Elephas maximus indicus: one gene and its partner. The protein of the gene in region 1 interacts with the protein of each later gene in a biochemical or structural test. Links are inferred from orthologs where the notes say so. Each region holds a gene or a part of one and is shown on either strand. Other genes may lie near its edges.

Region 1 (7,683 bases):
ATAAAAATAAAATTACTTAAATCACATCAAAAGAATCTGGACAAATACCAGGACAAATTTAATCCAAAAGATAAGAGATATGAAGTCTCTATTCTTGAAGACTTGACGAAAGATGATCATTTGTCTTGATTGGTTTAGGTACAGATCTCTTAGATGGCAGATTTAACATACTATGAATCTATGATAATTCAACATATCCAAATAATTTGGATGCAATTTAAATTTAAACATTTCCCTTCATAATTTATGAAAAAGATGGCACTGCAGAGAAATGGGGAAACGATGGTCTTTTCAATAAACAGTGCTGAGTTGATTGGATAGGATAAAATGAACCTGACCCCTATCTCACACTACAGAAAAAAATTAATTTCCAATTTAGATTATAGATCTAAATTAGGAGGTAAACAAATCTTTTAGAATATAGGAGAATATCTTTACGGCCTTGGAATAGGGAAAGAGTTCTTAAATTGATACAAAATGCAATAATCATTGAGGAAAAGACTGAAAACTTGGACTACATTAAAATTCAGAACTTGCATTCATCAGAAGACACCATTAAGAGAATGAAAAGTCAAACCATAGTGTGAGAGAAAATATTTGGCATATATATAACCAATGGCTGATAACCAGCATGTTTAAAGAACTCTTTCAAATCAGTAAGAAAAAGACAATTCAATAGAAAAATGGGCGTAAGATTTGAACACTTCACTATAGAAGATAAGCAAATGGCCAATAAACGTATGAGCAAGAGCTCAACCTCATGAGTAATAAACCTAAAATTAAAACCACAGTAAGATATTTTATGCCCATAGGAATAGCGAAAATTAAAAAGAATGATGATATCAAGTGTTGGCAAGCATGTGGAACAACTAAACACTCATCCACTGCTGGTGTGAGTATAACCTGGTACAACTATTTTGGAAAACTATTTGGCATTCAATGTAAAGGTTGAAAATAGACAAATGCCATGACCCAGGAATTTTAATACTGTGTATATTAACCAACTTAAAAGCATACGCATATTTATCAAATATATACAGGAATGTTCGTAAAAAGGCTGGAAACAACCTGAATGTCCACCATGGGTAGACTTGATAAGAAACCCTATACAGCAAATGTACTGCTATACACAGGGACATGTATGAATCTACAGACATGTTGAGTGAAGCCAGACACAAATTAATATAAAACCATTGCCATGGAGTCAACTCCGACACATAGTGACCCTACAGGACAGAGCAGAACTGCCCCATAGGGTTTCCAAGGAGCAGCCGGTGGATTCGAACTGCCGACCTTTTGGTTAGCAGCCGAGCTCTTAACCACTGGGATACCAGGGCTCCACAAAAGCATATGTATACAGCATTGTTTCACTCAGGAGCTCTGGTGTCCCAGTGGTTAAGAACTCTCTGTTACCGTCAGCTCCTCTGGAGAGAAAGATGTGGCAATCTGCTTCCATAAAGATTACGGCCTTGCCCAGGACAGGAACCATACCCAAAGCCAACTCTTCAGATAGGGATTGGACTGGACTACGGGATAGACAACGATACTGGTGAAGAATGTGCTTCTTGGATCAAGTAGACACATGAGACTACGTTGGCATCTCCTGTCTGAAGGGGAGATAAGAGGGTAGAAGAGGTCAGAAGCTGGCCAAGTGGACACGAAAACAGAGAGCAGAGGGAAGGAGTGTGCTGTCTCATTAGGGGGAGAGTAATTAGGAGTATATAGCAAAGTGTTTATAAATTTTTGTATGACAGTCCGACTTGATTTGTAAACTTTCACTTAAAGCACAATGAAAATTAAAAGATTATGGCCTTGGAAACCCTATGGGGCCATTCTACTCCTTCCTAGGATAAAGATCACTATGTCTGGGAATCAGCTCCACGGCATGGAGTTTTTTGTTTGTGATTACACAAATATATTCATTTGGTAGTAATTCATGAAGCTGTAAACCTCTGTGATCTGCGTTTTTTCCTATATATATATATATATATTTTTTATATTACACTTGGAAACCCTGGTGGCATAGGGATAAGTGCTACGGCTGCTAACCAAAAAGGTGCCAGTTCGAATCCACCAGACGCTCCTTGGAAACTCTTTGGGGCACTTCTATTATATTACACTTTACTGCAGAAGTTTAGAAAAAACCTCACTTCAGATCATCCTCTAGGTATCACGTGAACGCTCTGCCACGTCAGGTAGCAGAAGTATCTTTCTGGCAATTAGAAGCCGGACGTTTCTAAGCAAAACATGACGTAATGGTAAGAGGAGTGAACAGGGATCCAGAAAACCCGACTCTGACATTAAATAGCTGTGAACTTAACTAAGTCAGTACACCTCTCTGCGTCTCAGCTTCCTGACCCATAAAATCAGTATCAGGTATGAAAGTGTTTAAGGTTCTTCCCAGCTCTAAAGACTGGGATCCGCTTCTGTCTTCTCCTCAACGAGCTCCGAGGACTGTTGGTCCGGGCATGTCCCTGTTCCGCCATCACCGGAGTCCTCGCTTAGTGCTGAGGGGCCCTGGAGGCTGGTGACGGCAGCACGGGCCCGGGCCCGAGCCTACTAACGCGGGGACCGACCGTTGCGGTGAAAGGGGCCGGGTCCGCGCCGTACACACTCACCTCAGCCTGCAGCGCTGCTCTCTCCGGCGGGCCGCGCGCTCCGACTGCCGTCCGCTGGCCTAGCGAGCGCGCGACTCCTGACGGCCCCCCGGCCCCTCACTTGCGCCGCACTTCTCTACTCCTTTGCTTAAGCCTTCTGCGTACGAGCCAGACGAGGCGAGGCTCCCAACTACGCGTCTTCGGGCGCGTCTCAGGTCTTCCCCGGACTCCGTATCAACCACAAAGCGCGCTCGACCCGCGGCTTTCGGAAATCCCGCCAAACCCTCTTGGGCAGGGTCACGCCCGCCTCCACGTAACGTCTCCCCGCCCTTCGCGGAGCAGTTTTCTAGGCGCCTCGGCCGCTGCTCGAGAGCCGGAGACATTGGCCCAAGGAACTTGCATGGTTTTATCGTTCAGCCTCATCCTTTTTCTCTTAGGACTAAATTCTTTTCTTTCTCTCCATAGGAGAGCGCTACCAGATGGAGGACTACAACTCCCGAGACGGTGTGGTCGGACCGGGACTACACCTCCCAGCATGCACCGTCAGCGGGCGCCGCGGCTTCCGCGCCTCCACACCCATCTCTGGAACGTAACCTGACCCCTGAGAGCCAAAAGTGCCTGGTGCGACCTTTTGGCAGTTTCGTTTGCTGTAAGCCACTGACATAAGTCAAATTTCCAGAGCCAGGTGGTGGAGTTGAGGAAGTCCGAGATGGATATAGCGCTCCTCGGAGGGGAGAACGAAATGACTGGAATAGTATAGTCTAAATTTGTGGTGTTTTACGAGAGATTTACAGGACCCCAGAGGAGAGCGGAAACCCTGGTGGCGCAGTGGTTAAGAGCTACAGCTGCTAACCAAAAGGTTATCAGTTCGAATCCACCAGCTGCTCCTTGGAAACCTTATGGGGCAGTTCTACTCTGCCTATAGGGTCGCTATCGGAATGACTCGAGGGCAGTGGGTTCAGAGGAAAGAGGCATTGATTTTGGTAAGATTTACCTTATCATGGTTTACCAGAATTTTTGACCTGTGACCCCGGTCTTAAAAAATGAGAAAGGTTTCTCAGGCCAAGAAGAGGTGGCCCACATAGCTGGTAGAGCAAAATGGTCATGGAAATGAACGCCTTGTTCAAGAAATAGCATTGCTTGAAGAGGGAGGGTAGTTGCCATAACAAGTGCTGAAACTGGAAAGGAAGGTGCAAAGACCTGGAGTTAGAAAACTAAAAGGGAAGAACATCCTCCACATTTCTCCAGTGAAAGAACTGAAGAAAAAAATCAAGCTTGGAGTTGCAGTATTGGTGAATTCTGTGGGCAAAATGGTGAATACGCAGGAAGCATCAAAAGAAGATGGAAGGAATACACAGAGTCACTGTATCAAAAAGAATTAGTCGATGTTCAACCATTTCAAGAAGTAGCATATGATCACGAACCAATGGTACTATAGGAAGAAGTTTGAGCTGCACCGAAGGCACTGGTGAAAAACAAGGCTCCAGGAATTGATGGAATACTAATTGAGATGTTTCAACAAATAGATTCAACTCTGGAAGCAGTCACTTGTCTATGTCGAGAAATTTGGAAGCCAGCTACCTGGCCAACTGACTGGAAGAGATTGATATTTGCACCCATTCCAAGAAAGGTGACGCAACAGAATGCAGAAACTATTGAACAATATCATTAATATTACACGACAGCAAAATTTTGCTAAAGATAATTCAAAAACAGCTGTAGCAGTACACTGGCAGGGAACTGCCAGAAATTCCAGCCGGATTCAGAAGAGGATGTGGAACAAGGGATATCATTGCTGATGTCCGATGGATCTTGGCTGAAAGCAGAGAATGCAAGAAAGAGGTTTACCTGTGTTTTATTAACTATGCAAAGGCATTTTGTTGCTGGGTGAAAATCCCAGGTTTTGCTCAACGTGACTTGTCATAGCCAATAAGCTGAGGTGGGAGATCAGAAAGACGCTTTTATTTTCATGTACAAGGAAAGGAGCAATTGGGGCTGCTGCCTCCAAGACTGCTCACAGGCAGCGTAGGGAGGTGGGCTTTTACAGAGAGCAGACAAGGAAATGCAAATTCATCATGAATATTCAGGAATGACCTTCGCACAGGCACTCGAGGCTTCAGGTGATTATGCATTTTCTATGGACAAGGGTTCAATTCTCCGGCGGGGTGCTTATATGTATTTTGCACTTAATGAGCTAATAGGTCGCTTGGAGTTGAGATAGCATAAAAGCCTGCTAAGACGAGTTGGGGCCCACTAAGGCTGTTCTCTGGTTATCTTGTCAAGGACAGTTCTTGGCCCATTCTGTAGCTATCTTGTCAAGGACAGTTTCAAAACAATGTGTAGCCTATTTTGCTCAATGAGGATAAGCTAGAGGAGGTGTCTCTCAGAAGTGCTGAGTTCTGAGGCTGCCTTTATCTCCTTGAAGTGTTGAGCTCTGAGGCTGCCTGTCTCAATTTGACTGTGTGCATCATGACAAATTATGGATAACATTTCGAAGAATGGGAATCCCAGAACACTTCATTGTACTCGTGTGAAACCTGTACATAGACCAAGAGGTAGTCATTCAAACAGAACAAGGAGATAATGTGTGGCTTAAAATCAGGAAAGGCAGAGAACGCCTGAGGGAGCAGGAGAGCAGTGGGGTGCAGACCCCAAATTCTCAGAAAAAGACCAGACTTAACGGTCTGACTGAGACTAGAAGGACCCCAGTGGTCTTGGTCCCTAGACCTTCTGTTAGCCCAAGACAGGAACCATTTCCAAAGCTAACTCTTCAGACAGGGATTGGACTGGACAATGGGATAGAAAATGATACTGGTGAAGAGTGAGCTTCTTGGATCTAGTAGACTTAAGAGACTATGTTGGCATCTCCTGTCTGGAGAGGAGATGGGAGGGCGGAGGGGGTCAGAAGTTGGCTGAATGGACTAGAAGAGAGAGAGTGGAGGGAATTGCTCATTAGAGGGAGAGCAATTAGGAGTATATAGCAAGATGTGTATAAGTTTTTGTATGAGAGACTGACTTGATTTTTAAACTTTCATTTAAAGTACAATAAAAGTTAAAAAAAAAAATCCAGAAGGGTGTGCATCAGGGTTGTATCCTTTCACCATACTTATTCGAGCTGTATGCTAAGCAGATAATCTGAGAAGCTGGACAATATGAAGAACGTGGCATCAGGTTTGGAGGAAAACTCATTAACAAACTGCAACATGCCCGTGACACAACCTTGCTTACTGAAAGTGAAGAGTACTTAAACCACTTACTGATGAAGATCAAAGTCTACAGCCTTCAGTACGAATTGCATCTCAACATAAAACAAAAATTCTTACTAGACCAATAAACAACATCATAATAAATGGAGAAAATATTGACGTTGTCAAGGATTTCATTTTACTTGGCAAATCTGCAAGAGATGTCACCTTGAGGACTAAGGTGTGCCTGACCCAAGCCACAGCATTTTCAATTGCCTCATATGCATGGGAAAGCTGGGCAATGAATGATGAAGGCTGAAGAATTGATGCCTTTGAATTATGGTATTAGTGAAGAATATTAAATATACCCTGGACTGCCAGAAGACTAAACAAATCTGTCTTGGAAGAAGTACAGCCAGAGTGTTCCTTAGAAGGGATGTTGGTGAGACTTTGTCTTCCGTACTTTGGACATCTTTTCAGGAGAGACCAATCCCTATGAGAAGGACATCATGCTTGTTAAGTAGAGGGTTGTGGAAAAAGATGAAGACCCTCAATGAGATGGATTGACACAGCGGGCTTAAACATAGCAACGATTGTGAGGATGGTGTAGGACTGGTAGTGTTTCATTCTTTTGGTCATAGGGTCACAATGAGTTGGAACCAACTTGATGGCACCTAACAACAACAACAACAACATGAAGAAACAGAAGACCATTCTAGGGAGCTTTGCTCTTTCTTTTAGGTAATGGGGAACTCACTGAAGGTTTTTAAGCAGATGAGTAATATGGTTAGATTTATTTTTCCCCCAACTACCATTTTATACGGAAACCCTGGTGGCATAGTGGTTAAGTGCTACGGCTGCTAACCAAGAGCTCAGCAGTTCAAATCCGCGAGGCGCTCCTTGGGAACTCTATGGGGCAGTTCTACTCTGTCCTATAGGGTTGCTATGAGTTGGAATCCACTGGATGGCAGTGGGTGGGTTTTTTACCATTTTATATTTGTAGAGTACTTTAAAAGTTTACAAAGTTTTCATTTAATCCTCGACACTGTTATCCTGCCGCTGTGTAAAGGATAGAGGTCAACAGAGTGAGAGTGAAGCCAGCAAAGCTGTTAGGAAAGTCTGCATTATTTCAGGGAAGAGATGAGGGCTTAAGTTAGAACGGTGACAGGGAACAGATTCAGGAAGCATTCTGGAGGTAGTATCAACCTACCTAAGTGATTACAGATTGTACTGGTGGATGATACTGGACCTTAACTTCCAGTTCTTCACATACACTCTTAGAGCACCTGCAAACCCAGTCCCAACTTCCTGAGTGGAATCATGACTTTGACCTTTCTGGCTACAACTGCTTGGGCCAACAGTGTTTATCTGACCCCAAATCAATCACATTAAAAAAAAAACTAAAAACTTTATTTAGACATAATTTACATACTATATAATTAACCCTTCAAAGTGGTTTTTAGTGTATTCACAGATAGGTGCAACCATCACAACAGTCAATTTTAGAATATTTTTTATCACTTCAAAAGAAAGACTTTACCCTTTAGCTATCACTGTCTATCTTCTTAATCCTTCCCTCCTCCCTCCCGGCTAAAGTAATCACTAGTCATTCTGCCTGTATAGCTTCCCTGTTCCGGACATTTCTTACGAATGGAATCATATAATGTGGTCTTTTGTGACTGGCTTCATTCATTTAGCATAATGTTTTCAAGGTTCATGATGTAGTGTGTATCAGTACTTCATTCCTTTTTATTACCAAATAATATTCCATTCTATAGCTATACCAAGGAGCCCTGGTGGTGCAGTGGGTAAGTGGTCAGCTGCTAACCGAAAGATCAGTGGTTTGAACCCACCAGCCACTTTGTGGGAGAAAGATGTGGCAGTCTGTTCCCATAGATTAC
Region 2 (7,608 bases), about 98 Mb from region 1:
AGGGAGATGAGTGGGTGGAGGGGGTTAGAATCTGGCGAAATGGACATGAAAAGAGAGAGTGGAAGGAGGGGGCAGGCTGTCTCATTAGGGGGAGTATGTAGCAAGGTGTATATAAGTTTTTGTGTGAGTGACTGACTTGATTTGTAAACTTTTACTTAAAGCACAATAAAAATTAAAAAAAAGAAATGCAGATTCTCAGGCTCTACCCCAGACCTACTGAATCAGAAAGTCCAGGAGTAGAGCCCAGCCACATGACTTTTAGCAAGCCTCCCAGGGGACTGTGACACATGCTAACACTTGAGAACCACTGTGACTGAAGCTAACAAGCTGAGCTCCTACACAGCCCCTATGTTTCCCACCTTGATCACCTGGCCCCATGCATACAAACCTCACGACTAAAGAAGAAACCACTTGTCTGGTACCATGCTGCAGTCACAAAATATAAGCATACTCAGCAAAGTTACTTAGGGCCAACTTAAGCAGAGGCCTACAGCTGGGGATGGAACAGACCTCCCCTTCTGAGTCTAGTTTCCACAACCATGGCCTCTCTTTCTCAATTCACCTGTTCAGTGGCCTCTAACTCTACCCTCTCCAGTCCCTCAGGCCCACTCTTGGCTCTCAGGCGAGGACCCCGCCACAATAGGAATGGGTTTGTTAATACATATGCCCTCTTCCCCAACTATGAAATTAAAGGTTCCAAGCTGTCTTTAAGGAGGTAGCTACAGCTTACTCTGTCTGGAAATAAATGCTAACAATGAAATATGAACCTCACAATCGCTACCACTTCCAACATTTACAAAACTCTTCCATAACTCACTCAAGGATCAGAAAAGCTACTTCTGAAATTGGGATTAGAACCCAGGACTCTTGATTCACTCCCCAAGAGCCTAGCCACTGTAGCATGGCAGGCAGGAAATAAATTATTGTTAATTATCTAATGGAATGATCCTATGTAAGGGCACAGGCCCCACGTCACTGGACCATGGTGCCACATGGAAAGCATTTCCTTTTCACAATCCCAGTCTGCTGGAAATAATGCAGAGGCTTACTCTGAGACAAGGGTAACTTCCTGGGCCCGGAGCACCAAGTTTACAGAAAAGGGCGGGACAACCTTTACAGCCCTACTTTAGAAAACCAAACCGTCCGCTCATCTACTGCCCCGATCGATTAAAAGGGCTCCAGTTTCCTCTTACAAATAATAAATGGTGGTTATTCTATTATCATCGCCATGTCTTACCGCAGCAGCATTTGGAGGGAACAAAGAGGGCCCGGAGAGGTGGAACCGAGGTTCCTGCACGATCACTCTTTGCCCATCAATATGGTATTTCTGCTCAGTTCTAAAAGGTACAGAAATTCTATTTGAAAAGCGAGAAGCTGCCAGAGGTCGGAAGCAGACGCAGGTGCATACGCTCCAAAGAGATGGAGACGTGAACAGGGATGATCTGATCGCCCTCCTATCCCGCCTCCTCTATTTTCATTTCTTAGAAACTATCTCTGCTGGAACATCCCTTCCCACGTTCACACCCAGGGACGGACTCCAGCAGAAGAGAAGAAAGAGACGGGAGGGGTGAGATTCACAAAGGCTCTAATTTGGGGCATTAATAGTTAGAGCAGCTGAAAGACCTGCAACAGCAAAGGACCCTGTTAACAAAACATCATCAGGGCACGTCCCAGAAAACCACCCAGCCGCTAGATTGTTGTTAAAAATAACGGGGAAAATCAGAGCCAAAAGCACATCTCAACTCTGCAGACAGACTTACGGAACATTTCACCTTCACTGTTACAATGGGCGTTTTTACAAGGGGCAACAGACTCCGTGAGCTTGACAAAGGAAGAAACACAAAAGATAGCGAGAGACTCATTCTGGATAAACAGTTACTATTCTGTATTCGTAACTCCACACCCGAAACAGCAGCTCCATGAGGCACAAGGTGGGGTCTTGGCAAATCTGCACAGGATAAAACCAGTTATCCATGCTGCACTTTTGCATGCTGTAAGCATCCCTGACCTGGCCCACCTCTACACCTCCCACAATCAGGATCACCCCACCAAATGCCGAAGAGAAAACCCCTTTTTTGTGAGAACCAACCAGAGCCTAAGCTGTCCATCATTACACAGCAAAACCCCAGTGAGAACAAAAACCCAGCAGCACACTGATGTAGAAACCCCAGAACGTACCTGAATTCTTCAAATGCAAACATGACCTAGTCAGAGACAGCTTCCTCGGGTTGTCTGGCAGCCTTGTTGGTACGGAGGACAACCATTTAGTCAGTGTGATGGGGTGAAGTGCCGGAAAAAAGAGGCGGGCTCCCACACCCCCCAATATTCTGAAGTAGAAGGTTTTCTGCAGACAGGGGCCTGCAGCCTCCAGCTCCGCCAGCTGCTGACAAGCGGCAGCTAACAGGGGAGGCAGCTAGAAAACCATGTGATCATTCCAGCAAGTCTGATGAATGCAGTGTATGCCTAGACTCCAGGCTGGGAGCTGGATTAGTCCAGGGAAATCGGCCAGACCTGGGCATGCCGGGATCCTGGTTAAATCAGGTAAGATATCCCACCTCCCCCCACCAGAATTCTGCAGCTTAAAGAAACGAGGAGGCAACCTGTTCCATTGTGGTCGACCTCATTACCTCATCTTCCCGTGGCGGCTGCTGTAATGATCAGGCATGACCAACATCGTAAGCACAAACGGTACACAGTGAAACCTGGGCTGCACCACATGGAAAGGCAGCTCACGGCGAGAGTCTTTAAAATTCGGCACCTTACCGTCCCTCTACCAAACATTGTTTTGCACAAACGCCTAAGATGCTTCAGGATCACAAAAGTCACATTTTACGCCCCCACTTTTACCATGAATAACATGACCTTGGCTGTCACTCAGAGCTAGTGTCTCCTTTATTTGATTATTCATTTACTGAGTGTCGAATGTGTACCGGGCTCTTAACAGTTCCTTGAAGTGCAGTAATTGCTGTAATAATTTCAGAACAGAAGTTAAGAAGAAGGAACTGAGATGTCAGCCAAAAAAGAGAGCAATGTTTATCAGTTTGTGAAGCCCAAGCTGGCCAGATCTGGCAGTGGGCTGAGGAGGTATTCCGAAACCTGCCACTGCGGAGATTCTCCAGCACTTGGGCTGCAAATCTTTATAAAACAAGGGAGACAAATCTCAAATAAAAACCCGTGAGTCATCTTGTCTCTTTTTTCTCTCTCTCACACTACAAATATAACCAGTCACTAACTCCAATTCTGTCTCAGAAAGGCTCCTCTGAACCGGTCCTGCCCGCCCCCACCCCAACTGCCTCAGCTCATATCTTCAAAATTTCTCACTTAATGTCTCAGTTTCCTTCCTAGTCTTCTTCCTGGCGTCCCTTCTTGAAAATTCTGCCTGAGCAGTTGTCCTAAATTTGGCCTTGATCCCCCGCCCCATTTGAGCCCTGCATTAGTTTGGCGCCCCCATGAAGTCAAAACGGATTTCTCCTACTCTTTCTTCCATTAAAATTCTTCATGAGACATCCACAGATCCCAGAATATGCCAGGACTCCGTTTCTTGGGTGCCTGGGCCACCTGGGTCAGATTGCTCCACGTTCCCCCCGCTCCCCCATGCTGCCCACTGTCCCTTGCCTGCTCCTGCCCAGGGCCCGGAGGAGTCCCAGGGACAGTTAGCCGCTCTCACTCCTCTCTGGTCCAACTGCACCGATCACAGCACTCTCTCTGCCTCCCCCACAGATCCACGAATTCTGTCAGGGCAGGGACTGTGTGAGATTCATTTCTGTATTCCCACTGCCTTGGGCAGGCCTCGACAAAGCAGAGTTACTTAAAAAGGTTTCCTGAGTGTGCCTCTTTTTGCCCTGCTTTCTATCCGGGGGAAACCTGACCTAGCACATGTACTCACATGAAGGTGCTCCGGGTGAACACGCCCTCTCCACCCAGCTCGCTCGCTTGCTCTCTGAGAAGCTAGCGTTGGAGCTTGACTCAAAGAAACGAAGTCATAAAGGCAAACGGAGGCAGACTGGCTAGTGAGGGAGACATTTTGGGGAATCCTGGGGTCCCGCAAACCATATAGCAATCATCGACTAAGCTGACGGAGGAATGCCTTCGCCAGTATTCCTGACAGGTGTCTGCCTGAGACTGTCTAGTGACAGCAGCTTCTTGGCAGAATCCTGATATGACAGAAAACATGGGAGACTCGGAGCCATTAAATAGCCCGGCTGTAAGTCCCAGGTCTGCCACTTACAAACTCCATGACTGCTGACAGTTTCCTTAAGTTCTCTGAGCACTGGGTTCTGCACAGGTGAAACTGGAATAAGGGTTACACTGGCCACACCTCTCTCACAAGATGGCTGGAAGTTCTTTATCAGGCAAGTAAAGCTACACAGACATTCCTCATGGTCTTTATTATCTCACAAGACAGCCTCTCGCTGAACAGCCCTGATTTCTGGGTGCTCTTCTTTATGGTGAGGTCCCCTTCCTCACTGAAGTGTCCATCTGCTCATTGGTAGTGCATTTCCATCTTGGGGGGCAGCAACATATTTCTGTGCTGTGATTCTCAGGAAAGGGGAGATCATCTATCCATCCATCCATCCGCCCATCCACTCACCCACCCGTCCATCCACCTATCCACTCATTCATCCACTCCCATCCACCCACCCACTCATCCATCCACCCATCCATCATGTCTAGTCCCAGTCCTAAATCCTAGGTTTAAAAAACAAAAAGCAGTAGAGATTACCCAAGAGTTAGCAAGAGCAGTTGGCCAGACCAAACGTAACTATATGATATTTTTATTTGTAAACTATCTAGGTATGGAAACCCTGGTGGCGTAGTGGTTAAGTGCTACGGCTGCTAACCAAAGAGTCGGCAGTTTTAATCTGCCAGGTGCTCCTTGGAAACTCTATGGGGCAGTTCTACTCTGTCCTGTAGGGTCACTATGAGTCGGAATCGACTCGACAGCACTGGGTTTGGTTTTTTGGTTTTTACCTGGGTATAGTCATAGGTGGGATGGGTAAGGGGCAGTTGGACATCAACCAGACATAAGCATCTGGAGGGAAAGAAGATACCAGGGCATCACCTTGCCAATACTTCACAAACTCAAGGACAGGGTAGTAACTGCTTTGCTGGGAACTGTTCTCATCTGCTTAGGCCTTGCCAGTGCCTACGAGGCAGGCCCAGTGTAGTGGAAGGCCCAGTTGAACAGAGAACCTCTAGTCCATGCCTGTCTTTCACCAGTGACTCAAGAACCTCCTCTTGGAGAGCTGGTTATACCTTTTGAGGCAATTCACAAGGTCCTAATAGAGAGGAGAGTTGATAGAAATGGTGAAAAATCTCCAAACGCCAGCAGCAATTTAGACATAATTTTAGAGATTCCCCAATATGCTAATAAGGACACAGAGGCCAAAGTGGTCGCCCAAAGTCATACAGGTGTTCTAGCAGAGCAGTGCCTCAGGACCCCTGTGTCCCGCTGGCATCCTAACACCAATGATCTGTCTCAGGCCGGCTCTAAAAGAAGACTTTACAACAGACTGTTAGGCAGCCTGTGACCCAAGAAGGGGCTGGGATACTGTGAACCTTTTGGGCTATTTTATCCAGCTGGCTCTGTCTAATCCCCAATTTCACAGCCAGGCAAGAAACCTCTAAAGGCTGAAAAAGTACCTCAGCTGCCCCAGGAAGTAAGGGGTAGAAATAAGAGTTGAGACAGGGCTGGGACCAGATGGGAAAACAGCCTGCTTCCAAGACTAGACAGATCCTTGACATCTCAACTACTGGTAACACCAAAGGGTCAGAAACCGGGGTGTCACAAATGAGGGTCCATGATGCCTGACAGCTCCACTCCTCTCCAGAATAAGGCCCAATAAAGGACTTTTATCACCACACAATGATTTAAAAAGTCGTTCAAGGTCATCTTCAATGTCTCAGGACTCAGACAAAATAGGTTCCTACTCTGGGACTTAATTTCCCTTTCTACCAGGAAGGAACAGCCAGATATTCACTTCTTAGCCTTTTGTGTTTTAAGATAGCAGCTACCTGGAACCTCAATACATAAAACTGATGACAGTGGATGGTTCTGTTTGAAGAAGGGGCGGCAGAGCCACAGAGCCCCTGCTGCTAGGCCTTTCCACTCTCCACTAGAGACAAACCTGGAGTCTGCCTGAGAACACCTGGCCCAGATGACTCCAGTGGTCCCGCCGGCACTGATACTCTGTGGGGCTCTAGAGCTAAAGCCAGCATGCTCACCCTGGGTAATCTAGGTCCACTTCCTCTTTCCAGTCTCATTCCTAAGAATAAAAGCCTCCTGACTTGCCCCTGCTGACCTGGCAGAACACTCCCCTACTGCAAGTACTGGACATGCACACTTCCGGAGGCTTCTCAGAAAAACACAGACATGGAGATACTGAACAAAGCACAGTCATTAACGTGGAGGGACCCTAGGTCACTGACAACTGGGAACATTTGAAACAAGTGTCCTTAGCTTAGCATGTACCTTAGTTTTGCAAGCAACATGTCTTTTCATATCAAACCAAAAAACCCCAACCCCCGTGATCAAGTTGGCTCTGACTCACAGCAACCCTACAGGACAGAGTAGAACTGCTCCATTGGGTTTCCAAGGAGCGGCTGGTGGATGTGAGCTGCCAACCTTTTGGTTAGCAGCCTGAGCTCTTAGCCTCTTGTGCTACCAGGGCTCCTGTTTTCTTATAAAATGGTCAGTTTTCCAAGAAAGGGCACTTATAGCTTGTTGGTATGAGTCCCGTTACAGTTGATGTGCAGACCGACAACCTGGGAGTTTAAGTCTCTGTGTCCTGTTTTCCTCTCCCACTATTTTTGGGTTGTAGGAACTCATCCATGATGCGTGTGCAGCACAGTAAGCCTGAGCGTGTGTGAGCAGAATCCAGAGTTCAAACGCTCGTGATGTTTCTAGCTATGCACATCCACTGTAGGGCTGCGTGGAGATGAAATGGTAGAAGTCCTACCTGAAGATCAGACACATTCATGACTAAAAGCACTCTTCTCTTCTCATGGCCCAACCAAGGATCTTTCAAATGAGCAGGGACTGAGTGGGGACAAGAAGCACTCCACAGGGTCCTCCATGGCCTACTTCAGTCCCCTTCTCTCTAGTCTCACTTCTACCACTCTAACGCAGACCCTGCCCATCTCCACCTGGTCTCCCTCCCAGTCTGACTCCCTTCCTGCACACGGTCACCTGCCCTGGCACCTTCCAGTCTCAAACCCCACCAGTCTATTTCACTGTCTGCAGAACAACATCTAGCCCCTCAGCTTGGCACTCAGCAACTCCACAAACTGACCTGTTCTATGCTTCAGTCTGTTTTCCACAGCTGCCAACCAGAATCTTCTGGTGGCCAGGCTTGTCTCCTCGCTGAGCCCTGGCACACTTACTCATCCCACCTCCATTTCTGGATCCCCTTGTCCCCCCGTCCACAGTGCTTTCTCCCTTCTCTCCACAAGCAGTGATAGAATGGTATGGCTCTGAACCAGCCCTACTACTACCCACTTGAGGAGCCTTGGGCAAATGCTTACCAGTTTAAGCCTCAGTTTCCTCAACCTAATGTGGGAAAGATAGCACCTACTCAGTGGGGATGCTGTGGGGATGAAATGCCTGGC

Evidence for each region. The genes of interacting proteins can lie anywhere in the genome.
Region 2: the proteins of RAD51 (region 1) and EVL form a complex in vitro, tested with the Homo sapiens proteins (2 studies listed by BioGRID and IntAct). The link is inferred for Elephas maximus indicus from reciprocal best matches to the Homo sapiens genes RAD51 and EVL.

What each region holds. Positions count from the first base shown.
Region 1 is NC_064828.1:15,332,623-15,340,305, forward strand, and holds the start of RAD51 (DNA repair protein RAD51 homolog 1), read right to left. Parts: upstream 3,023-7,683; 5' UTR 2,619-3,022; intron 1-2,618.
Region 2 is NC_064828.1:113,344,670-113,352,277, forward strand, and holds the start of EVL (ena/VASP-like protein), read right to left. Parts: upstream 3,012-7,608; 5' UTR 2,202-3,011; coding exon 2,179-2,201; intron 1-2,178. UniProt on the Homo sapiens protein: Ena/VASP proteins are actin-associated proteins involved in a range of processes dependent on cytoskeleton remodeling and cell polarity such as axon guidance and lamellipodial and filopodial dynamics in migrating cells.